3 linked regions of the Caenorhabditis elegans genome follow. The protein of the gene in region 3 purifies or fractionates together with the protein of the main gene of each other region. This does not show direct contact. Each region holds a gene or a part of one and is shown on either strand. Other genes may lie near its edges. The genes, in order: Y54F10BM.3, C02F12.8 and eelo-2.

Region 1 (7,209 bases), on a different chromosome or scaffold from region 3:
AAACGTTGAAAAATTTGAAAAATAATAAAAAAATTTGCAGAATTTTTTTTTCAACTTTTTGAAGAGTTTTTTGGTTTCTACTAATTTGTGCAATAATTTAAGTTTATCACGTCATACCCTTTCAAATGACCCCCCCCCAAAAACTGGCTTTGACGCACAAAAAATGTATAAATTTCAAAAAAAAAAAAATGTAGAATTTTTCTTATTTTGGAAGTTTAATAAAATTGGTCTCAAAAAATTAAAATATTAAAAAAAAAGTTTTTTAAATTTTTTTTAGAACTTCAAAATTTTCAGAAAGTATCTGTTTTCTTTAAATTTTATCTAAAAACTTGAATTTAGCACGTTGAGACCTTCAAAATGACCCCCATCATGCCTAACTTCCGCCCATTTTGGGTCTCACCACGAAAACTACAGTACCCCAGGTTGGGTTTCGTGGCGGGACCCAAAGCGGTCGCATGATGGGTGTCATTTGAAAGCTAATGAGCAGCTGAATCTAATTTTCGAATTAAAAACTCTAAATTCCTCAGCCGAAAAAAAATTTTGCCGAAAAATCACCTGCAAAGCTTGGGGTTTCCTGCGCTCATCGCTGTCAGCTCAATCGGAATTTCAAATTCTGGCTGACACCATTCGAACCAATTTGCGATTACAGTTTTCGACGGATCGCGTTCTTTTCCCGGTATGATAGAGCACATCGACGGGCTATAGCTCATTTTGGTGAACAGCTTTTTGAATTCTTTACGTGTGATGTTGAGAGCTGAAATTTGTGTAGGTTACTGTAGGTTACTGTAATTGGAATTTTGAATTTGAATGAAAATTGGACTGTTTGGCTTGAAAGTAGAAAAAAAAACAAAATTTCAAAATTTCCAAAAAAAATTAATTTCGAAAAAAAAATTTTTTTTCAAAATTTTTGTTTCAAAAACTTTTAAAATTTTCTACGAAACCGATTTGAACGTTTCAGATTAAAAATTGCAAATTCTTGGGTCCCACCACGAAAACCAGAGTACTCCCGGCGGCATTTTCGTGGCGGGACCCAAAATGTGCGGAACCTAGTCATGATGGGTTTTATTTTAAAGGTCTCAATGTGATTATTTTGAATTTGTTAATTATTTCTCAGTTGGTGCAAAAAAAGTCTAAAAATTTAGAAAAAAATTAAAAAAAAAAAAATTTTTTTTTGAGATTTTTGGAAAACATAAAAAATTTTTACAATTTTTTGCTCATTTTTTAATTCAGCGTGTCAAGACTTTCCATTTAACACCCATATTGACTAAGCTCCGTCCACTTTGAAAACTTGGGGACCCAAAACAGGCGAAACCTAGTCATGATGGGTGTTATTTGAAAGCTCTAGGCGTGCTAAATCTGAAAATTCACGCCAAATCGGTTTTGAATTGAAAGTTAGCTCGAGCTTTCAAGAAAATAAAAATTTAAAAAAAAATTTCAAATTTTCAAATTTTATTTTCAAAACTACATAACTCTGCGAATTTTAAAGATATTCGATTGAATATAGTCTTAAAATGAGCGCAATCTTTTTGTGAGTTTAATGTTTAATTTAATAACTTGCAATGTTTAAAGTAAAATTTCTTAAAACCTGATTTTAAAACCATACCTGACTTGCCGTGCCATCCATCTTCCAGCTGATAATCCTGCTCATCCAATGCATTTTCCGTCTTTGGGTCCGAATCTTTATCAATATCAGGGCCCGTTTGTCTTTCCACCCACACTTCATTTTCTCGAAGCTCATTTTGTGGCTTTTTGAATTTCTGAAAAAACAAATTTTTTTACAAAAAAAATTTTCAAAAAAAAATTTTTTTTTCGAAAACCCATAACTTTGTTCATTTTCAAGATTTTTCCTTGATTTTTGACACGTAAATTTTCAAATTTTTTCGGAAAAATCTCTACCTCTTTATTTTTCACGATCACATCCTCCATCGGCAGCAGCTCGACTCCACCCCGTTTCAGCGTCACCTCCTTTACATGTTTCAGCCATTTGGCTGATTCTCTCGGTCTTTTTGCAGGATCCACACCTCCAGCGTTTCGATTTTTCGAAGCCGAAACTTCAGAAACTCGTGCCAGACGCCTTTCCCAAGCCTTTTCCCTTGCCATTTTCTCGTCGCGCCATTGTTGAACTTTCCAGTAGCAATATGCTCCAAATGCTCCAACAAACGCAGATTCCAGGAAAAGTACAACAAGCCAGCTGAAAAATTACAGAAAATTTGCGAAATTATCGATTTTCTTTCGAAATTATCGATTTTTTTCGCGAAATTATCGACTTTTTCGTGAAATTATTGATTTTTTCGCAAGAAAATCGATAATTTCGCGAAATTATCGATTTTTTTCGCGAAATTATCGATTTTCTTGCAAAATTATCGATTTTCTTGCAAAATTATCGATTTTCTTGCGAAATTATCGATTTTCTTGCGAAATTATCGATTTTCTTGCGAAATTATCGATTTTTTCGCGAAATTATCGATTTTCTTGCGAAATTATTGATTTTCTTGCGAAATTATCGATTTTTTTGCGAAATTACTGATTTTCGATAAAAGAAATGACGCAAGTTATCGATTTTTTGAACAAAAAATCAATAAAAATTATTGATTTTTCTTCAAAAATCCGACCAAAAAAATCAATAAAATCAACATAGATTATCGATTTTTCGAAAAAAAAAAACCAATTTTTCGCCGCCGAGCAATTATCGATGTCAAATTTTCACAACTTACACTTCGATTGGAATTAGGTCGAGAATGTCGGTCAGCGAATTAAACTGTTCAGCAGGTGGTGGTTTGGTTGAGGATCTGAAAAAGAGCGGTCATCGGGATAAACTAACGGGACAACGGATAGACTTACACTGGTGGAGTTGTTGAGGTCGGCGGGGCGGGTGTAGGCCAATCGACGAAACCTGGAAAAAATCAATAAATTTTTGTTGAAAAATCGATAATTTCGCGAATAATCGATAAATTATCAAAAATCGATAATTTCGCAATCGCAATGGCCACGTGGCTTTTTTTTACCGTCCTCTCCACGTCATTTTCAAAAAGAAATAAATAACAAACTCCACGTGTTCATCGAAAATATCAAAAATCGATAATTTCGCGAAAAAATCGATAATTTATCGAAAATCAGTAATTACGCAAAAAATCGATAATTTTTTAAAAATCGATAATTTTTTAAAAATCGATAATTTTTTAAAAATCGATAATTTTTTAAAAATCGATAATTTCCTGGAAAATCAATAATTTCGGGAAAAAAATCGATAATTTCGCGAAAAAATCGATAATTTCGCAAGAAAATCTGCCTCTTCCTATATTAAATCCTGAAATTGCATTCTTGACAGAAATAAAAAATAAGGGCAACTTTTCGACACGTGAGAAAATCGATAATTTCGCAAGAAAATCAATAATTTCGCGAAAAATCGATAATTTGGCAAGAAAATCAATAATTTCGCCAAAAATCGATAATTTCGCAAGAAAATCGATATTTTCGCAAGAAAATCGATAATTTCGCCAGAAAATCAATAATTCCGCGAAAAATCGATAATTTCGCGAAAAAATCGATAATTTCCCGAAAATCAATATTTCGCGAAAAAATCAATATTTCGCGAAAAATCGGTAATTTCGCCAGAAAATCGATAATTTCCCGAAAATCAATATTTCCCGAAAAAATCGATAATTTCGCGAAAAAATCGATAATTTCGCAAGAAAATCGATAATTTAGCAAGAAAATCGATATTTCCGCCAGAAAATCGATAATTTCTCAAGAAAATCGATAATTTCCCGAAAAATCCGATAATTTTGTAGAATCGAACCGTATCTTGGCGTCAAACCCCCGTACTTACTTAGCTCATATGGTTCCACGTGGCAGATGCCAAAAATCGATATGGTCACCAATAAAATCGACCACAATTTCATCTTGAATATTGTGAAATAAATTTTTCAATATCGATTTATCGACTTTCGAAAATCAAACGACGTGGTTCCCGACGTGGAATGTTTTTTGGCAATTTTTGAGTTTTTACGTTTTTATTCAATTTTTTAAAAATTTTGTAACTTTTTTAGTTTTTGAGATATTTTGTTCATTTTTGGCTTAAAATGTGCGAAAACTACCCACGTAAAAGATAAAATAAAAATTTTAGAAATTCCGGTAAAAACTACAGTACCCCACAACTTTTCGTGACGAGACCCAAAAAAAAATCAAAAAAAATCAGAAAATCACAAAAATTTATTGTGCGTCGTAGAAAAAAATCATGTCATTTCATAAATCAATAATATCGATTTATTTGTCGTTTGGCGGAGCCGCAAAGCAGTTTGGCGGGAACAGTGAAAACGAGTGGAATGCACTGCAAATCGAGTCTCGCCACGTGGATTCGTGGTGCTCCGCTTTGAAAAATTGCTGAATTCTGTGGATTCTTCTGGAAAAAATTAAAATTTTTGGTTTTAGAAGTTATTTTTGGATTCAGCGTGATTGATTACCCTTATCTATAGGTTTTCAGAGCTCTAGCTCAAAATCTCAAAATTTTGAAATTTGGCTGAGTAGCGACTCAGAACTGCGATACGGAGTCATAGTTTTGAAAAACTAACATTATCATTAAATTTGCCATACTTGGAAACCCAGAATCCTAAATTTTTAGCCATTTGCACTAAAACTGACCAAACTCCGTATCGCAATGGGTCGCTACTCAGCCAATTCTTGAAAATTGAGCTAGAAGGCCCAAAATTTTGGGATAGGGGTAATCAATGACGCTGAATTCAATAAAATTAAAGAAAACATTTAAAACTTGAGATTTCGACCAAAAAAATCGATAATTTGGCGGAATTATTATTTTTAAACAAGTTTTTTTCAAAAAAATTTTTTTTTTAATTTTTCCAAAATTTCAAAAACCTTTCTATTAGCAAAAAATCAATGAACTTACTCAATTTTTGTCTCATTTTTCCTCAAAACTTGATAATCCTCAGCACTCAGGTCATCCGAGTGTACAGAGTTCAACGATGCACCATAATTGATAGGTAGAGTCAGAATTTCAGAAATTTGAATAAAAAATATCAAAAATAATAAGGTTACTGTAGTTTTTCGCATGTTTTTTTGAACTTTTACATAGAGAAAGTGTAAAAAGTTTTTAGGGAAAAACTTGAAAAATCAAGTTTTTAAATACTTTTCTCACAGTCAGCGGGGGGTGGAATTCGTCATAAGACATGATGACGTCATAGGATCAATTTTGATATCTTTTATCAGTTTTTATCAGTTGCTACACGTGAGAAACAATGAAAAATTCCATTGTTTTGATGTTTGGCAAATCTGAATTCGCTGAATTCTTAGTGTACCTGAAAAGGGGTAGAGGGATACATTTTGCACCTAAGCAATGGGTGCAGATTTTTTAAAATCAATTTTAATATAGCGAAAAACTTCAACAAAATCAGTAAAATTAATTTAAGTTTGAAAAAAAAAATTTTGAAAATTTTTTTCCAATTTTTCAAAAAAAAAAACAAAAATTTTTTGGGTCTCTACACGGAAAGTTATGGGGTACTGTAGTTTTACGGGTTCTTGTAAATTCCTATGTTATATTTTATGGAAAAATATTGAGGGTACTATTTAAAACTAATCTAGGCTCAGAATCTTGAAAATTGGCAAAGTTATGGAGTTTTGAAAAAATTGAAAAAAAAATTTTTTCAAAATTTTTTGGGTCCCGCCTTAAAAAGTCTTTTGGTACTGTAGTTTTATGAGTTGCTATGAATTACTGTACTAGATTTTAAAGAAAATCATTTAGAGCGCTATTCAAAATAAATTTGAGCTCAAAATCTTAAAAATTGACAAAGTTATGGAGTTTTGAAAAAAAATCAAAAAAAAATTTTTGTTAAATTTTTGGATCCCGCCACGAAAAGTGTTGTGGTACTGTAGTTTTATAAATTGTTTTAAATTTTATTGTCAGATTTCATAGAAAAATATTTAGAGCTTTAATAAAAATAAATTTGAGTCAAAAATCTTGAAAATTGACAAAGTTATAAAGTTTTGAAAAACAAATATTTTTTCGAAAAAATTTTTGGGTCTTCTCACGAAAAGCATTGGGGTACTGTAGTTTTACGGGTTTTTGTTAACTACAATATTACATTGTATAGGAAAACATTTTGGGCACTATTCAAAACAAATTTGAGCCAAAAATCTTGAGAATTGACAAAGTTATAAAATTTTTAAAAAAGTTCCAAAAATTTTTTTTCCAAATTTTTCAAAAAAAAATTTTTTTACGTTTCCGGATTTACTTTTTTGTAGTTTATGTCCCAAAATGTGTACTTAAATTGAATTTTGATCAATTTATTTTCGTCTTTTCCACCTCCCATTTTCAGCAAACTGGCTACTGAAAACCGGTTTTTTTGGCTTGAAATTGTTGACATCTCACCAGTATATAAAAATTCAACTCGGCAAGTAGAAAAAAATTTAAAAAAAAATGATTTTTTCCCTACTTTTCAAGATTTTTGCTATATTTTCTATAATATGCTCTACTGTAATAGGAATTCCACCTCCTCCTCCACGCCCACCTCATCAGATTTTTGGAGGCATTTGGAGCCCCGAAGAAGGACCATTTGGAGCTATCAAGGACTCTTTGAAATAATTTAAAAATTCATTTTATTGATTTTTTGTTTAATTTTTTTTTCTTCAAAAATCTTGTTTTGAATTTGTTTATAAAGTATTGAATTTCAATCCAATAAAAAAATCACAAAAAAAAATACAGGAATTTTCGTGGCGGGACCCAAAATTATCAAAAAATATCAAGTTTTTATTTACACCCAGATCAATGAAAACAATAATAACATTGAAAATAAATTACTTGAAGGTATTGAATTATTGATTAATATTTCCTCACAGTTTGTTGAATTAATAGCATTGTCAGCGCATCTGGAAAAAAATAGGAAAAATGAGGGTCCTGTCACGAAAACTCATGGGGTACTGTAGTTATTGAACTTTTCTGAAAAATAAAAAATTCATTCTAATGAACCCTATTTTAGTCACATTTGAGTAAAAAACCAACTGAAAATCTGAAAAATTGAGAAAGTTATAACGTTTTGAAATTTTTGCGAAAAAAAAATGTCGGCCTTAAAATTAAATTTTGGGTCCCGCCGCGAAAACTCATGGGGTACTGTAGTTTTAGTACTTTTCTTAAACAATATTTTATTCACATTAGAGTGAAAAATCAACTCGAAAATTTGAAAATTGAAAAAGTTATGA
Region 2 (7,924 bases), on a different chromosome or scaffold from region 3:
CTTCTTCAGAAAGGGCGATTATTTTACCAGAGTACTCAGCTTCTAACTTTCGCTCCCTTTCAGCAACTCGTTCTCTGAAAATAACTAACATTATTTCAAAATTGTATGCACTTTACAAACCTGTATTCACTGAATGTGCCCATGACGTTGTATTTTTGCCTTTCATACTCTGCCACAGTTTCTTCCAGTGTTTGAATTTTCCTTTTCAATTCGGTTTCTCGTCCAGCTGGCTGAGCTAGAATAATTTAATTGTTTCCAACTTTTCAATATTTTACACGTACGTGAATTATTTCTAGAAGTATTTCTCGATGATTCTCTTGCAACATGTGACAATTTCAAAATTGATAGCAATGAAGTGTTATCAATGTCATGCCTAGAACTTGCTCGTGAATGTTGGCTAACTGGAGATATTGGAGATGGTGAAATCGGGCCACTTGGTGCCCTCCGCAAAACTGGTGACGGGGGAGCTGGTCCTCCGACTGGTGTTCGAACATTTCCAGAGAGGCAACCTAGTTGATGCGCCGGTGGAGGTGCAGGCCAAGCAGCGATTTCAGGATGGGATTGTCTTACGAAAGGTCGAGTCACACCTACGGCTGGTTCACTGGAAAAAGAAAACGTTAAGGGTAAGGAGGTATCAAGTATCACATTTCGCAAACGAAAAGGAAAATGAAACTCACTGAGTTCCATGGGGCCTTGGAGATCTGCTCATTCTTCTAGGTGATCGACTTCCTGATGGAGATGCGGATCGGAGACTTCCATCAAACTCTTCGGATAATATACCAAGCTGAAACAGGTTACTACTAAAAGTTCAAGAAAAACAGTTGATGTTGCTGAGAAACCATCAGTTAGACTTAAAGGTTGAGTAAAAATCCGTTCTGAAAAATTCTAAAAAATTGTTGGAAAAAATACCTATTTTCTCAGGTTTTACACACTTATCGGTATCGAAGCGGACATAATCTTATTGTTATATAATTACGACTTTTTGTACCACATTTTTGTATTTTTACGCGTTGATTCATCGAATTATGCACCATATTTTCAAGTTAAGAAAGATTAAAATTTCAGCTGAAACTGCGCCTTTTCTCCAAAACTTCGAACAACTATAACTTTTAATTTGAGAAATATTTCGAATTTTTCTTAGCGAAACTTGGATAGCTGTGCATATAAATAAAGGCAAACCTTTAGGCTTACAATGCAGTAGCATTTTTAAAGCACACAGATTGGCTTAGTTTGAAAGCCTAATCAAATTGAATTTACTCACTCTTTCTCGTAAGCGCTCTGACATTGAAAAGGGCTTTGACAGCCCTCTTTAGACTGATTATCTGTGGTTAAGTGATGACGTGGCGCTGAAAATAGTTGAATTAAGTTTTATGTCTAGAACTAGAAAAAGTAAACGAAAAAATAAATAAGAGAACAGTTATATAAAAATAAATTAGGGATTCCTTTATCAGAAAATACAAATTCAGTAAAACAAAAGGTATAGAAGCCTAGAGGTTCTCGATATAATAGACAAGGAGTGATTCAGAAAGAGAGATGTAGAAGTGACTGGACACTTCCGAACGAGCAACTGTTCAAGAGAAGAGACTAAGAGATCCGGATAGAAGAGCCAACTGTTGCGCCTTGTAGTCGACATGATACTACTCAACACCGGCGGTGGATATACGAATGGACGTTGTGCCACTCACCCGGGAGGGGGAGAAACATCGAGACTGCTATATCAGATAATGAGTACGCACACAGCAGTGCACATAGGATACGTTGACAAGACCCGATGAATGTGATGACGGTGAGCATAACGCTGCCGAAATGTGTACGGATTGATTGAAAAATAGATTAAGGGGGCTATCAATTTAGATTTATTGCTTTAATTTTTCAATTTGTTGTAAGCCATAAGGAAAAAATGAGCAAAAGTTGTATCCTCTTCGATAGCGTTTTTTTTTTTCAAAAGATTTCGTCAGCCTAATTTCAAAACATACAGATTGGATAAAATGTTTCAATTTCAAAAATATTTCGTAGACAAAAATAGCTATATTTAACTTCTTCATCTAGTTTCACTTAAGCACGATCTCTTTTGATTTTTTGATTTTGATTTTGATTTTGGGAATTAAATGTTTGAGGTAATAATAAATAATCAACAAAATAATAATGTCCGTCTGTCCAGTTTGCCTAATTTGTTTGTGAAGTCAAAAACGCGTCTCTTGAGTTATTCAACCCTTTCTAAACTTGAATTTAAAATTGGTAGAAGTTTGAAACTGGTTAGAGCCTCTGAAAAGATGAAGAAATACAAGACTAGACATTTTTATTCTAAAAATCTCAATACATAAATTGATTTACCCATAAAGTCAATAAATTAAAATTGAAGACAATGACACGTAATTAAATGGACTGAAAAATACAACTGAATGGTCATGGTTAATCACAGTTAAAACATCTGATCACTGGGTACAATGTGTACAAACAATAACGGAATCTAGAAAAGGTTGAAGAAAATTTCTTCGTAATACTCTAATTTGTCAGTAGAATCGCTGGTGAGACCGGCCAAAAAGCATAGTTCCGGAAGAATAGCTGGCGGCAAGTTCAGCTGAAGTTGCTCGTAGATTGTAATACGCGAGAGACTTTGCGGACGTTGAACCTGTAAATAGTCAGTTTGAGACACTTAAAAGTACCAAAATTCATTAAAACTCACCATTTTGAATGCCAAAATGCGTTTTTCAATAAACTGTAACACTTTGTTCATTTCATTCGAATTTTCTTCCCAAGTTTTCACAAAAGTATCCACCGTTTCATAGAATTTTTGATATGAGAAATTTTCGTGAAAAATTGGACGACCCGATTCTGAAATCTTCTTTGCTCTGTTAGCAATTGCCATTTGAACTGCATGCAGGATTTGGGGACTGATCAACGATGGCGGTGGATTCGAGACGGGTCTTTTTCCTCGCTTCTTTTCTGAAATTGAAAATATTAGTACCAAATGGCGATGATGAATCTCACTTTGGTCTTTCTGTCCTGAGCTTGAGTAGTCACCACCAGCTTGCTCCACATGCTTCTGTCTTTCTCGATATGCTGCTTCCAGTACATCGTCATCAGTTTCCAATTGATTTGCCTTCTGTGCAGCCATAAGGCGCTTTTCTTTTTTTGTCAACTTTTTCCTGGCGTCGGGTAGAGCAATAGTTGATGCTTCTTTGCTATCCTCGTCAATGGTGGAAGCGGCCAAAGTCTGCTGACATTTTTGCAATGGTTTTTCGACTTTTGACAATGGCAGCGGGTAGACGAGTTTTTGTGTTTTCTGTGGTACAAAACTGAAAATTACAGAATTTATCATTTTAGCAGTAATATCAAAAAATCACCATTTCTTCCTGCCCGTCGCCTCCTGCCATGATTCCAAAACGTCATCCGACGTATCCAGATACTTAATGATTTCAGATATTGACGTATCCCTGTCATCATCAACAATCAACGAGTCAGTCGTCATTTCAGATACAGGTTCAGATTTGATTTCAACTACGCTCATGTTATCCGAGTGTTCCAAAGTTTCCGGCTCAATCAGTGTTTTCGAAAGATCAAGGTTCTCCATTATATCATCAACATCATCTAATGGTGGCATTTCAGACATTGTACTGCTATAAGGTTCTGGCTCATTTGCAACACTTTCCGTGTCTACTGAATCCAAGTCGCAATCTTGCTGACCAACAGGCGTCAACGTTCCATAATCTTCGTCTTCCGATTCTTCCCTGACACTATCAGTCATGGGTGATAACGAACCATTTCCAACACTAGATCCATTGATGGGCGGTCTGCTGGACATAGATATGTCGCTCTGAAAAAACCATTTTGTAATATAGCATTATAAATTAGTCAAGTGCTGCGTGAGTGTGTTCAAGTTTAAACATTTGATCATTATCACTTTCAGGAACATTTAATGATAGTTGTCATAAATTTAGGAGTGTGTCTGATATTCATGGTCAGACAAGAAGCGGGTTACTAAAATGGTTTTAGATGCAAACCAGTTAATCTCCCAACTTTTAAATTTTTCATATAACTTCCCTAAAAGCGGTCATGTTCAAATTTTCAAATTCTGGCATACCCAAGCAGCAGTTAAGTTGTTTTTGTTGTAGTCGATAATATTGTTTATTACCTGTCCGGAAGAAAACGATTGTGATGAGCATACTGATGATCCCGATTGTGACATGGAAACGACGCATACAGGTGCGCTGACAACTCGACAATATGCAACTCCATTGTTATCATAAATAATGTCTGGGAATCCTTCGTTGGCAGGTGGACCAGAATATTGACTGTAAGACGGTGATGGAAAGATGGGAGACGAGAATCCATATCCAGAAGGTGGCTTTGAAGTATCAATTTGAGGTGGTGACATTGAATACGATCCTTGCGAAACCATTACAGCTCCGACTGGCATCATGGTTGGTGGAGCTGGCACAAATTGGGGAGGATTGTAATTCTGGGAACCAACAGGCACGTGTGGATGCATAGGCTGGTTTACAATCTGTGGGTGTGCAAATCCTGAATTCGACGCTGCCAAATCCATAGTGTATGGAGGAACAGGTTGCGGAAAGACGTTTGGATTTGATGCAAACTGTGCCGGAGGTGGCATGTAATTACCATGTTGAGCAAATGGGTGTACCTGAAAATTGCAATTGTTTCAAAGTTTTAAAGAAATTCTTATGGCCTTGGGGTTTTTAAACAGTGAAAAACTACATTTCTAAAAATTAAAACTTGTTTACTCCTCTCGATTGAAAAAAAAACCGATTTTTTCCATTAAATCAACGAGTTTCTAAAATCATTAAAAGTTTAATTGTCAGCTTTTAGTTTCGCCGTTCGCTTAATTTTTATTGCAATCTAGTATTCCCATTTCAAAAAATTATCAACGAAATAAGCTTTCAAATTGCCTGAGATTGGAAATTCTCAATATCTCATGAACAAACTTTTCAAATTGAAAAACAAACCTTAAATGAAGCATCCAACGTGCTCACCAAATTGTTCTGATATCCGCAATTTTGATAAGGATTTGGGCACTGATTATTTTGGACGGGAGCGGCGAACTGTTGCTGCATGAGATCATCAACGTCTTTTGAGTTCAACAGAACCTCATTCTCAAAATTCCACAGCGCAATAGGATCATTTGATTCAAAAGCTCTTTGAACGATTTCCCCGTAACTTGGATCCAGACGATGAAGATTATTGTAGGAAAAGAGAATCTGTAAAAAATTATTATATATAAGAATATACAAACGCTCTAAACATTATGTACCTTCTCCAATTGATTTCTTCTTTGAACACTATTCCTGAGAAAGTCCTCATGTACTTCACTCGAGTGTCCTTCGGTTTTCCAGCGAGATCTATCGTTTTGCATAGCTTCTGAACAAAGTTAACATGAAAATTTGTCAGAGTTTAAAACAACTGATAGGTGCAATATTGAGAGCCTGTTAATAATTGAAAATTTAAATTGTAGGAAAAACCGAATAAAAAAAACATATAATTTAGTGCTTACAACATTCAGTTTTACTATTTATTTTATGAGTAAAATTATAACGAATAGAAGCTGGCGGTGTCACATTTCAAAACTAGATCAAAAGATTTGCTGAATTAAAATAAAAAAGAGAAATGTTATAGCTATTTGTTTGTTTTTAACCTACTCTTGTTACCGCAAAAAAACATTGTGAGCATTTTACACAAAATTATATAATTTTTGAATTTCCTTTGCTAGTAATTGTTGGGAAAAATCAAAACAAATTCTTGAAGCTAGATTGCATTCCAAGTAACATGGTTAGTTCAAAACATAGAATTTTATGAGAAATTCAAACTTTGAAAGAATCATGCATCGCGTTGGGGCTCTCGAAAAATAATGTCTAGGTATCTAGATAGCTAGATTCATATCATAGCTATAGATTTAATTTTTGCTTGTAACTACAATTGTGGAAAAATGGGAATATAAGAGTACCATTGAAAAAAATAGCACAATGTATAAATTGCACGGTTGGCATGCAAAATTTTGGTTGGAAATTCAATGAGTAGAGCTAAAAAAGTTTTAGTTTTGCCCAAGGATAAAAAAAAGGAAACCTGACTCAATTTCTGTCAGTGGAATTTCTAATTTGGTTAGTGCATTCTGATTTGGTCAGTGCAATTACTAATTTGGTCAGTGCTTTTCGACTTTGGTCAGTGCTTTTCTATTTTGGTCAGTGCTTTTCTATTTTGGTCAGTGCTTTTCTATTTTGGTCAGTGCATAATTTTAATTTCTAACCTATTATCTGATTGAAAAAAAATTAGGAGGAACGAAGTTGAAAACTGAGGTGAACAAATGAAAGTGAAAAGACGCGCACGCAGGTGGTGGTGCTTAGTGTTTATCGTCACCCACAACAATAACTGGGTGGGTAATATGGTGAGGAAGAGGACTCGTTGGACAGGGCAAAGGGCCCCTCGGCGGATGCCACGCACGCAGCACACAAAACCCCCCTACATTCGTTCGCGCGCACACTCATAGAACACTCACACACACGCACACACACGCTCACATATAGCCAACTGCACCCCCACGTCAACAAAACACAAACACACAAACACGCACACACATGCGCTCACACGACGACACGGCATCCAGAGGCACTAGCGCAGTTAATTTTTGACGCTCTAGACTAACAATGGGACTCTTTTAACTCAATGAACATATGACAAATGTTCACGGATTCTCGTGTGATTGCGCACGAAACAGAGCGTTACGGTGGGCGCAAGGCCGTTACGGAAAATGGTAATGACGGTCATAGGTCCAATTATTATACATATGTGATAGTAAAATGTAAACAAAAACTAGCATGTTCGCAGTAAGTTTCAGAATGTAGAGAAGAAAACAGAAATCTATGTGGAAATATAATCTAGCAATCATCCTGGAACTTATCAAATGCTTTCAATGTACGACAGGTGCTAAAAAATGTAAAAATGTAGCAGAAATTTCACAGAAAAGGTAAACTAAAATCATAAAAGAACTCGCACCCCCAATTTCGCAAGAATAATTGTAAAAAAAAACAGAAGGGAGGTCATGGATATTTTTAGTGCAGCGCGAGTAGATCAAAAAATTTTAATAAAAATTGCATCACAATTTTAATATTTATAATTGCTTTAAATGATAGAAAATGGGCTGTAAGGACAGATTACGACTGTAAAAAAATTATAAACTTTTTCTAAATTTTTTATGATTTCGGCCGAATTAAATTTAAATTTCTGCGCAAATGAGTGACGTCATTTTTTATACTTTCGCGTTCTCTCGCTTTCTTCGCCGTTTTTTTTTTTAATATTTTTTCTTCTATATCTTCTATATTTGATTGAAAATTTGATAACACAAAATACTTTTGCGGAAATTTCAAACTTTGCCCAAAAATCGACAGTGGAGTTTTTCAAAGATTTTGTTTTGGGGAAAAATATTTGAAAAAAATGGCGAACAGAGTTTTGAAAGTAATTTAGTAGAAAAAATCTAGAAAACCGAAAGAATTTAGCCAGACAACGCAAAAATATCGAAAATAGCGTCACTCATTTGCATGGGAAGTCAAATTTAATTCGGCCGATTCTTTGATTTTTGAAAATAGAAAAATATTTTAAAAAAATCATGAGAAATCTAAATAAATTTTCTACACTTTTTACAGATATATTCGATCATTACAATCCATTTTCTATCATATAAAGCGAATTTTTATTTATTTATTTGACTCTACTCCACCTTTTAGTTTGAAAATTGCTAAAAATTTACATCAATTTGCAACAAATCTCGAGAAAACAAGTTTCGAAAATTTTTCGAGAGGTCTCATACGGATTAGAAGCAAAAACTACACCAAGTTTTTTTCCAGAAACTAACATCTACTGCTATTTTAAAAATTGATACTTCACACTCTTGACATAATGAGCGATTAATTTG
Region 3 (9,684 bases):
GATATTTTGATAAGAATGAGCGACTCCTCCCAACTGTATCCGTCCACCACCACCTCCACCCGACGTAAAGTCCATTTGTTGTTGCTGTAGTTGCAGTTCTTTGTCATCTTCCAAATATTTCGTGATATCCGGTTCAAGGAGATGCGGAGCCAATTGGATACCGTTTAGAGCACAAATATGAGAGAAGAGCGGTGTCATTTGTTCGTTGAAGCGTGCCACAGCGGTTCTGGAAATTTAAAAAATAAAAAAAAATATATATGCAGATACAGTAACCCGAAGTTTTTTTTTGAAAGGAGACCCTAAACAGTAAAATTTCATCAATTTTTTGGAGCTCAAAATTGCAAAAAATTTTAGAGTACTGTAGATTTAATTTAACAAATTCAAAAATCTGTCAATTTGAAAATTTTTCAATTCGTCGCTTTGAGCTCGATCAGAATTCATAATAATTTTCGCTTCAGAACCCAGAAATTTCCGAATTTTCAGATTTTCAGGATATTCCAAGTACCTCGTCGTCCTCGATGGTACTACCGTCTCATCCGCCAACACATCTCCGTGGCACCGCCAGCAAATAAGCCGCCCGCTTTCAGCGTCCAATATCCGATTGATTTCCAGCATCTAAATATGATTTTTTCAGAGAATTCTTCTATTTTAAAAGAATTTTCTCACATCATAAGAACTCTGACACGCTCCACATCGATAGTGAGCTCGATTTGTGTCCATTTGCTCTCGGGACTCGAGTTTTTGTCTGGAAAATTTTAAACTTTCAGTGAAAAAATTATATTTTCACACCTCATGTGATCGATTTTGTAGCGCACCACGTTGAGCACAGCCCGATAGTTTATATAGTAGAAAATGATGGAAACCGTTCGATTATTCTCGTTTTTCTGCGTAATCGTGCGCTCTTTCACGAGTTTTTCAGCTTTCAGAGACGCGAGGAGCTGAAATTGTCAAATTTTTTGAATTTTCGAATTTCAAGCAAGTTTCAGCACACCTGTCTGAGCATTTTCTGATCGAATTGTATTCGGGCTTTGAGATTTTCCTCGCGAATGCACTGGGCTCGCATTATGTGGTAGACGATGATAAAGTGCTCCTGGAAAATTAAAAATTCAAGAATTTTTTGAAAAATCAGATTTTTCGCTTACACTTGAGAAGAAGTTCTTTACCACCATCAGCAATATAGTGTTGAGTGCCTCCGGAATCTGAAAAAGACGGTTTTTAGTCAGATTTAGTGGGTTTTTTCGCGGAAATGTTACCTCATCCACCACTTGGGTCTCGGTGTGAGCCGATGATGAGCCGGAGGTCGCTGGGCCAGATGACATGCCTGGAAAAATTTAGTTTTTGGAATAAATTTTAATTTTTGATCAATAAATTATAATTTTTGTTCAAAAAAGTGAGCAAAATTTAAATTAAAAATAATTCAGCTCAAAAATATCCAAAAAAAAAATGGAATAATCGTTTTTTTTTTAATTTCCAAAAAAAAGTAAAAATTTCAAAAATTGGTTTTAAAAAAATAACACAATGTCCTGGAAAAGGTAATTTTCAAAAACAAATTCAATTTTTTTCCTGTTAAATAAAAAACATAAACATTTTTTTCAATTTCAAAACAAAAATATTTCAATCGTTGGAAAACGATATCTCAAAAAACGATAAATTTTCAAAAAGAAAAGAATTCATTACTGAAGTAAAACAAAAATTAAAAATGAGGGGAAAAACATTAAATAACAGAGAACAATCTATGAGACCCTATTTCTTCTTAAGACTATCAAAAAAATATAACAAAAACAGAAAAAAAATCATCTAAACATATGTGAAAACCCGGTGAGAAGCGAAAAAGAGATGGAAAATCTCCAAAAACCGGGGGGGAATTTTCATCGTCTCTGATTCTCCGACATTTCCATTTCATCTTGAATGGCCATTGGTGGGGCGTAGTGATCACAGATGGCTCCGACTGATGGATTTCGGCCCTGAAAAAATGGAAATGAATATTTTTCTTTAAAAAAAATTAAATAATGGCTTCATTTTTCTGGAATTTAAAAAATGAAAGTAATTGTTTGGAACTCTTTTAGAATTCTTCTTGTAAAAATAGAGTTCAATTAAAGCGTTCTAATTTTAAAAAAATACGATTTTTTGAGATTTTTCCATGCAGAATTTAAGATTTTCAGCTTATTTTAATGCCGTTTTTCACCAATTTTTCAGTCAAAAAAAGAAGATTCCCCTACCTGGAATCTTTTGAACAATTCCTTCGCAACATCTCCACTTCCTCTATTCAATATTGTCGTTTTCAATCGTTCTCCCGTTTGCACTTCATTGTCTTCCTCGTCAAATGTCTCATGGATATCTAAGGCGAGCATCTGGAAATTGAGCCAATTTTCAGAAATAATTGAGATAATTTTTTTTAAAAGTATTTATCAAAATTCTGATGATTTTCTAACACTGGAAAACCACCTCACCTCAGCCCACAGCTTCCTATAATACATGCTCATATGTGGTTGAAGAGCAAAAATCGGTGTGAATGAGCACGGTTGATAGTCATTTTTGGCTCTTTTGAACGGGAAATACTCCTCATACATTTGTTTGTACATATCCAGCCAGAACTTTTGCTTCCTGTCCTCCATCTCGTAAATCGACAGATCAAAGTCCGACCAGAAGAGGGTACGGTAGGTTTCCCAGAGTGATGCTCGTGAGATCGTAAGAGCCACCGAGTTTGCGTGCTCTTCGGTCAACGATTGCTTTGTGATCTGAAACAGAAATTCAGACATTTCAAGAATTTTCGACTAAAAATACCTGATGCGGAGAGCTAATTGTTGCAAGGAGATTGGGCTTCGTGACGAACATTTGCAAGAATGTTGGGAACATGTCAGCTGCATCCCAGTCAGATGCGTAGAATGGAGACCATGGAATTGAAATATCACGGTATGGAGATTGTGATAGAAGAAGCTGCACACTTCGGCCAAACTGGAAATTTCGAAAATTTAAATTCAAACCCAAAATTTCGACTACTGACATGGAAAAGAAGTTGCTGAAGCTGCTGGTGATGGAGAAGAGACGGTCCGTTGGAAGTTGGAGCAATTGCTGAGCCGATGAAGTACACAATCTTGTCGAGACCTCGTTCTTTGGATTCCGCTGGAAATATATTTGTTAACTAACCTGTGTTGTTTTTTGCAGTTATTTTTGAACAGAATTTATTCTATTAACGTTTTTCGAAAGAATTTTTTTGCAAAAATAATTTGAAAAAAAAGCCAGATAGTCTGAAACGAGGAGAATTTTTTCCTCTAATTTTTATTCTAAAAAGACAATTTTTAAAATTCCCTCGCTTTTTCTGTCTTTTCATATTTTTTTCGATGGAAAAAATGAAGTGTTCCAAAAATACAAAAATCAAAAATTTTCAGTTTTCAAACAAAATCGAAACTGAATTTTCCGACAGGAAATGTCTAAATTCTAATTTTTTTCTAAAAAACTCGATACAAATTCAGGTGATTTTCCAAATTTTTTCTCGAGCTCTCCAAATTTTCAGCATTCTTCAAAACCTACGTCTCGCAAGCATAACATTCCATCCTCCTCGTTTATTCTGTCGATCATATGGATCAATGTATAATCTTCCATAGTGTTGTCCGCTGAACTTGTCGCCAACCGAGTAGATCCGGACGTCAGCATGCGCTTTTTCGAGTCCCTTATCGGTGATATCTTTGAATTCCAAATTGAAAATATGTCCGATGACTCCCATTATATTTTGGAATGTTGGCCAGAATGGGAAGTGATTCATTAGGTCCAGTGGGTTGACACTGAAAAAAATTAGTTAAAAATTTTTTTAAAAATGTTCTGAATACCTCTAAAATTACCGAAAAAATGAAAAGTTTGAGCTTTTCAACTGAAAAAAAAATCTGAAAACCTTTTTTTTTGAATTTCCGATAATTCGTAACACTTAGAAGTTTAGAAAAAAAAAGCTTCAAATCATCCGAATACCTCTAAAAATACCAAAAAATTGCAAATTTTACGACTTCCCCTTTGAAAGGCAGGCGTAGGCCGGCAGGCAATACTTTTTCAAAAAAAAAACCTACTCATAATGATGCTCTGCCTCTTTTCTGCACACATATGGCATATCATAGGCCTGAAGCTCGCCAGTGATAAGCTCACAACGTCCAGCCCATGCGGACCAGGACTCCATACGATCAATCACTACAGGCCGGATTCTACGTTGAAGACTGCAAGAAAAAAGTTGATTTAATTTGGAATATCATGCTTTTCGGTATAAATAAAAATTTTTTGTCAAAAACTGTTAGATTTGGGTTCTTTTTAAATTTTTTTCCGGCTATTTTTTGGTAAAATGTCAAAAGCTGAATTTAAAATAAAATCTTCACATTTATGGAAATTTTCAGCGTTAAAAAAACAATTTTTCAGTATTTTTTCTAAAACTCACGCATTGATAAATCCTCTAACTGTCTCCGGCGAGGCAGCCATTTTATTCGCAAGTCGGTGCTCAGCAACAGATGAATATCCAAGCGTTTTGGCGAGTCCTTCGCTGAAAAATTCAGCCATTTTTCAATTATTTTTCCTTATCGGATTCCTACTTATTATGTCTCAACTCCTCGATATTGATTGAATTATTGTAGAAATCATGATCAAATCCAGCTTTACTCGTCCATTTCTCCCATGCGGTGGCTCTCAATTGACGATCTCCACAATATTGCATAAATGGGTAGATTGTGTGAGGTGTCATACGTCCACGCCATGGTCCTGATTCCCAGTTTTGTCTGAAAAAAGAAATTAGTCTGAATTAGTATTTAGTTTAAAGTGGGAATATTTGAGTGAAATTGGAGAATTGAGCATTTTTAATGGTTAGAGAAAATTGAAAAATTTTACAGAAAGTTCTTACCTTTTCACTTTTTTTTGCAGAAAAAATTACAATTTCGTCTAGTACTTTTTGATAATAATTCTCACGATTTTCTGATAATTTTCAATTTTTTTCTAGTGAAAAGCATAAAAATTGTGAAAATTTGGAGCTTATTTTCGATTTTTAGCTTAAAAATACCACTTTTCAACGAATTCTCAACAAAATTTCGCCAATTGCTACTAAAAAAATTTCGCCAATTGCTACTAAAAAAACCTACTCATCAACAGCGAGCTTCTGTAAAACATGTGGAGGTGCATCTTTTATCACTTTTTGGTCCGTCACGACAAATGTCTGCTGATCGTTGGTTGACATCACGCCGGTGCTGAAAAAAAGCCGCTTAAAAGCTGAAAACTTCCATTTAAAACTCACATATACTTGCTCCTGTACTCGTCGACAAATTTGCTCCAGGATCCGAGAACCTTACGCGTTTTATCGTCGTGTTTGTCCAATCCAGAAGCTTTTATCTGCAAATTGATCTTATTTCAGCCAGAAAATCCGCGAACTTAGCTGAAAAATTACAATTTTCCTGGGAAAGTTAGACGGAATATCCTTTTGCTGAGTTAAAATCGATGCTTTCTATTTAGCAAACTACAGTCTCTATGATTTCTGAGCAGAAATCAAATTTTTTAATTTCAAAATCGGTGAAAAACACTTTTTCCAGTCAATTTCAGGCATATTCTCGTTAGAAAATATTTAAAATGGCACCTCGAGCAAATACCACTCCAATAGTCTCGATTGCCACTCGGAAAGTCCATCTTTTGCCTCATAAAGCTGCTTGATGGCGTCCTGGAAGTCCTTGTTGGTTAACTTCTCCATTTGATCGCGGGCACACATGATTTTGATCTAAAATTTAAAAAAATTTAGGTTTTCCACTTAATTTCATGAAATTTTCTGTTATTTTACATGGTGAAGGTCCGCATCGAAGAGTTTTCGGTTACAATCAGGCCAATCCGTGAGCATTTTCAGCACAAGTGTCTGGAAAGCGAAATTGACCTCGTATTCCTCCGTAAGCAATGGTTCTACGACGTTTTCAAACTTTCGCTCTTCTGCTGGTACTGAAAATACATTTGAAATTGGTTTTTTCTCAGATTTCACAGATCTTACACGTTGCAAGATGCTCCATGTGCTCCATTACAGTGGCTCCGTAGTCCATGAGCATTCGAACGGTTCCTTCATACAGTTCCTGAAGAAAAACCAATAATTTAAAGTTTTATCCAGAAAAATTAGCTACCCTGGGCTCGGCGGTGGCCAATTTCGGCCAATCTTCATTTTTAGCGATATTGTACATGAAGCAGTTGTTCTCCACGGTTTCCTCGGGAATTACGGGAAATCTGAAAATTAAAATGTAAATTTTTATCACTTTTTCGAAAAAAACTCACACAACATAATATCCAACCACTCGCGCCGGCGTCTCATTCCCCATTTTGAACAGAATCTGTCGTTTTTGTTGCTTTTGAACATTTGTTGTTGGAACCTGTGTGTGGAAAAATCAGTTTTAAGCTATTTTTAATCAGTGGAAAATGACTAACAATCAGCCCATTGGTTTGATTATGGATTTTTCGCGTCAGAAACCTCCCGAGGGGTATCCTACGGAACATTCCTGCAAATTATCTATTTAAAATTTCTTATTTTTTGTTTTTTAATAAATTCTCGAGAATTCTCCTGAATAAAATTGTCCAAACATGGTGAAAACTTGATTAATGCGGAGAAAAATAAAATAGAAACGATGCACGGTGGTTCAGTACTGAACGCAGAAAATGAGTACTGAACGCAGAAAAAAATCGCGATGAACGCAGAAAATGCAAGCGCGCTCCATTGACGCAGACAGCTGCTGGCGCACATCGCGAGAGTTGACGCACAATTGGATTTTGGAGGCAGTTTGAATCGAGTTTCTGAGAAAAACTCTACACACGTATAGAGTTCCCCACCCATTTTCGAACCAATCAGCGCTTATTTTTCGAAAAAATTGAACAAAGGAATATGAAATACTTATGAGTTTATTTAAATTTAAAGAAAAAAAAAACGACTAAACATATGAAAATTCGAATAGTGAGATCTTGTGGTACATCTAAAAAAACAATTGAAAATGTGTAAAAATGAATTAAAACTTGGTTATGTATGTTAGAATCTTGATTCCGTGTTTTCATGAAAATAGAGTTTACATATAATAATAAACTCCATTTTTATACTCTGCAGACTTTCCAGACTTTGGTCTTAATTTCAATGGAACAAGTCTTTTGTAGAATACACCCATCAGAATGAATGCAATGAAAATTGTGGTTGACTGTAGGATGATGACGTATTTGTAGCCGGAATGTTGGAATAGGAATCTGAAATTTTTTTTTTTAATTTTACTCTTTGAGGATGGAGAATATCAAATTGAACAGTACTAGAAGAAAAATCCGTTTTCGTGAAAAAAGGTTTTTGTGATAATTTTTTTTTCTGTTTCAAGTTTTTAACAAATAAAATTTAAACTCTTTCTCGATACTAATCCTTCTAAATACTCATGCATCCAAACTCAAATTCAGACTATTTTAAATAATTAGTTTAAAGTCAATTAACACTTACGTGATAATAATCGAAGCAACAAATGGCGTGATACTTCCACCAAAACTGAACAATCCCTGCATGGTTCCCTGCTTCCGTGGACCCAAAATCTCTGAATAAAGTGCGGCGGCCGGTGACTCGACAAATGGGAAAGCGATTCCGAAAAAGAAGACAAATGCAAAAATGTAGAGAGCCATAGGGACACGAGTTGTCGTGTTGCACCATGAATATGAATCAAGGCATCCACCGACAATAGTTGTGTTGGAACCTAGAATCAGTATAATTTAAAACTAAAATGTTTCACATTTTCCAGAACAGTCACTGTGGAACATATTCTAGATTCCATATATTCAAATAAATCATACTTCTGAGAAAACTTTGAAAATCAATTCGCGGCGAGACCCTTACCTGGCGGCAAAAAGTGCAGAGGTCCCGAGTAGAACCACCATGGATAGTTGACCACGTGGAATGCGACGAATACACCCAATCCGAATAGAATTTGAATTCTTTTGTCACTGAAAATATGTTATAACAATATGAGACAAAAAGCAGTTAACAATTAATCGAAAAAAAATCTTCCAACTGAAATAGGGGATGTGAAACTGTTAGATTTTCTATTTGTTTGTAAATTTGAAAATTTGCTGAAAAAAAATTTTAACACGCTGAGCGCCTGTCACAGCAATAATTCACAATATTTTTTTTTAGAAAACTTCGTAAGCCCGTAAAGATCAGTGAACACGAAATGCTGTCCAAGCTGAAAGCTGGTCAGTGAAACAGTGAAAAAATTGAAATTTTTTTAGAACATAATTCCCCGTGTCTATTTAATTTGAAAAATCACAAGTATTCTAGAAAAAAAAGAACTCACATCTTTCCAATTCTAGTTTTTCCAATTCCAAAATTAATCAAAACCGACACAATACAGGTAATTGATTCTATAATCCCGTTGTACAAAATCGCTTGAGAATCTTTCCAATCGTAGAGAACAGTTGTCAATGGAGTAGACATTCTGAAATTTTTTTTTGATTAAAGATAAGTGGAACGCTTAGATGTTTTAAAAGAAATTTTAGTTTTGAAACAGGGGAAAAATTCGAAAAAAAAACTTACACTTCAATATTTGTAGCAATCATACTAACAATCATGTACAAATAAATACAAACTAATGCCGGAACTAAATCGAATTTCGGCACCACAACATAGTCCGCATTGCCTGAAAAAAAAAAATGAAAAATTATCTTTTTTTTAATAAACGTATAGTTATTACGGGAACAATATGATAATGCGTACTTGGAGCATTTTATTTGACGCGCGATATCTCTTAGCGAAAACTACAGTAAGAACTCAAATAGCAATAGTTATTTGAGTTCATACTGTAGTTTTCGCTAAGAGATATCGCGCGTCAAATAAAATGCTCCAAGTACGCATTATCATGATTTATTGTTCCCGTAATAACATAATATTTTTTACATTAAATCAACTTTTAAAACTTTTTCTGAAGATTGGCAAGGCAAGTTGCTGCAACTTTTAACGAAAATTGGAAAATACAACAATAGAATAAGTTTAAAAAACTTAGACTTAACCGAAATTTTTGAAACGGAAATTTTAATATTTTTCTGCAGTTTCTTTTCCCATCAAAACTTACATTTCTCATCACTTGAATTTTTATCAATAATTCCAGCATAATCTTCCTGAAAGAAGACCAACATCAAAACAGCTGCAAGCACACAAATGAACGCCATCAGGTAAGCTGCCGAAGTGTACATATTGATTTTAACTATCCAAATGTTGAAGCCTGTTTCTCCGAGTGGCGTGAAGAATGCCTGAAATTTTTGAAGATGAATAGTCGAGCATTGAAAGCTTGAGGAACAGTGCAAACTTTCGAAACTGTATCGAAACATTAAAAGTTTTGATGTCTTTTCTGATTTTCTTTATTTTTCGAATTTAACCCTTTTCATAATAATTTGTGACTTCATTATATTTGCAAACCGGTAAAAACACAAATTAACCATATATGAAGCAATTTGAACATTTATTATAAAAAAAACAATTTTTTTAGTGTACTGTTAAAAAGCTCACAGAAAAATTCAAGATTTCAAAATTTGTCGAAACAGCAAATTTTTGGAAAAAACTTTTTTGAACAAATATTGCAAAATAGGAATTTTTGAAAAAAAAACTAAATTTTCCCAAATTTCATATAGTCAGAAAACTAGAATTGTCCCGTTTACTCGAGAAACATGTGCTTCAGAATA

What was found.
Region 1: the proteins of eelo-2 (region 3) and Y54F10BM.3 fractionate together in Caenorhabditis elegans (co-fractionation; one large-scale study listed by BioGRID). This does not show direct contact.
Region 2: the proteins of eelo-2 (region 3) and C02F12.8 fractionate together in Caenorhabditis elegans (co-fractionation; one large-scale study listed by BioGRID). This does not show direct contact.

The regions. Positions count from the first base shown.
Region 1 is NC_003281.10:2,278,779-2,285,987, reverse strand, and holds the start of Y54F10BM.3 (Tyrosine-protein phosphatase domain-containing protein), read right to left. Parts: upstream 3,964-7,209; 5' UTR 3,903-3,963; coding exon 3,830-3,902; intron 2,894-3,829; coding exon 2,842-2,893; intron 2,790-2,841; coding exon 2,715-2,789; intron 2,192-2,714; coding exon 1,897-2,191; intron 1,758-1,896; coding exon 1,604-1,757; intron 755-1,603; coding exon 556-754; intron 1-555. Other genes in the region: Y54F10BM.22 (Neuropeptide-Like Protein), read right to left, coding at 4,267-4,402, 4,904-5,067; Y54F10BM.23 (uncharacterized protein), read left to right, coding at 6,431-6,595; Y54F10BM.21 (uncharacterized protein), read right to left, coding at 6,765-6,879.
Region 2 is NC_003284.9:3,687,860-3,695,783, forward strand, and holds C02F12.8 (uncharacterized protein), read right to left. Parts: upstream 5,380-7,924; 5' UTR 5,375-5,379; coding exon 5,273-5,374; intron 5,220-5,272; coding exon 4,968-5,219; intron 4,646-4,967; coding exon 4,136-4,645; intron 3,818-4,135; coding exon 3,348-3,817; intron 3,300-3,347; coding exon 2,992-3,299; intron 2,947-2,991; coding exon 2,687-2,946; intron 2,633-2,686; coding exon 2,471-2,632; 3' UTR 2,284-2,470; downstream 1-2,283. Other genes in the region: Putative protein tag-278, read right to left, coding at 1-74, 121-235, 282-601, 678-784, 1,262-1,285.
Region 3 is NC_003282.8:17,246,938-17,256,621, reverse strand, and holds eelo-2 (Peptidase M3A/M3B catalytic domain-containing protein), read right to left. Parts: upstream 6,492-9,684; 5' UTR 6,490-6,491; coding exon 6,421-6,489; intron 6,366-6,420; coding exon 6,271-6,365; intron 6,223-6,270; coding exon 6,123-6,222; intron 6,075-6,122; coding exon 5,996-6,074; intron 5,947-5,995; coding exon 5,795-5,946; intron 5,735-5,794; coding exon 5,597-5,734; intron 5,356-5,596; coding exon 5,261-5,355; intron 5,214-5,260; coding exon 5,109-5,213; intron 4,752-5,108; coding exon 4,569-4,751; intron 4,520-4,568; coding exon 4,418-4,519; intron 4,398-4,417; exon of another isoform or gene 4,271-4,397; intron 4,203-4,270; coding exon 4,059-4,202; intron 3,783-4,058; coding exon 3,532-3,782; intron 3,124-3,531; coding exon 3,005-3,123; intron 2,956-3,004; coding exon 2,785-2,955; intron 2,739-2,784; coding exon 2,451-2,738; intron 2,352-2,450; coding exon 2,220-2,351; intron 1,965-2,219; coding exon 1,869-1,964; 3' UTR 1,658-1,868; downstream 1-1,657. Other genes in the region: gtf-2E1 (HTH TFE/IIEalpha-type domain-containing protein), read right to left, coding at 1-226, 506-615, 667-745, 790-938, 992-1,090, 1,143-1,199, 1,254-1,319; mfsd-8.1 (Major facilitator superfamily (MFS) profile domain-containing protein), read right to left, coding at 7,050-7,221, 7,460-7,706, 7,847-7,953, 8,304-8,444, 8,543-8,645, 9,078-9,255.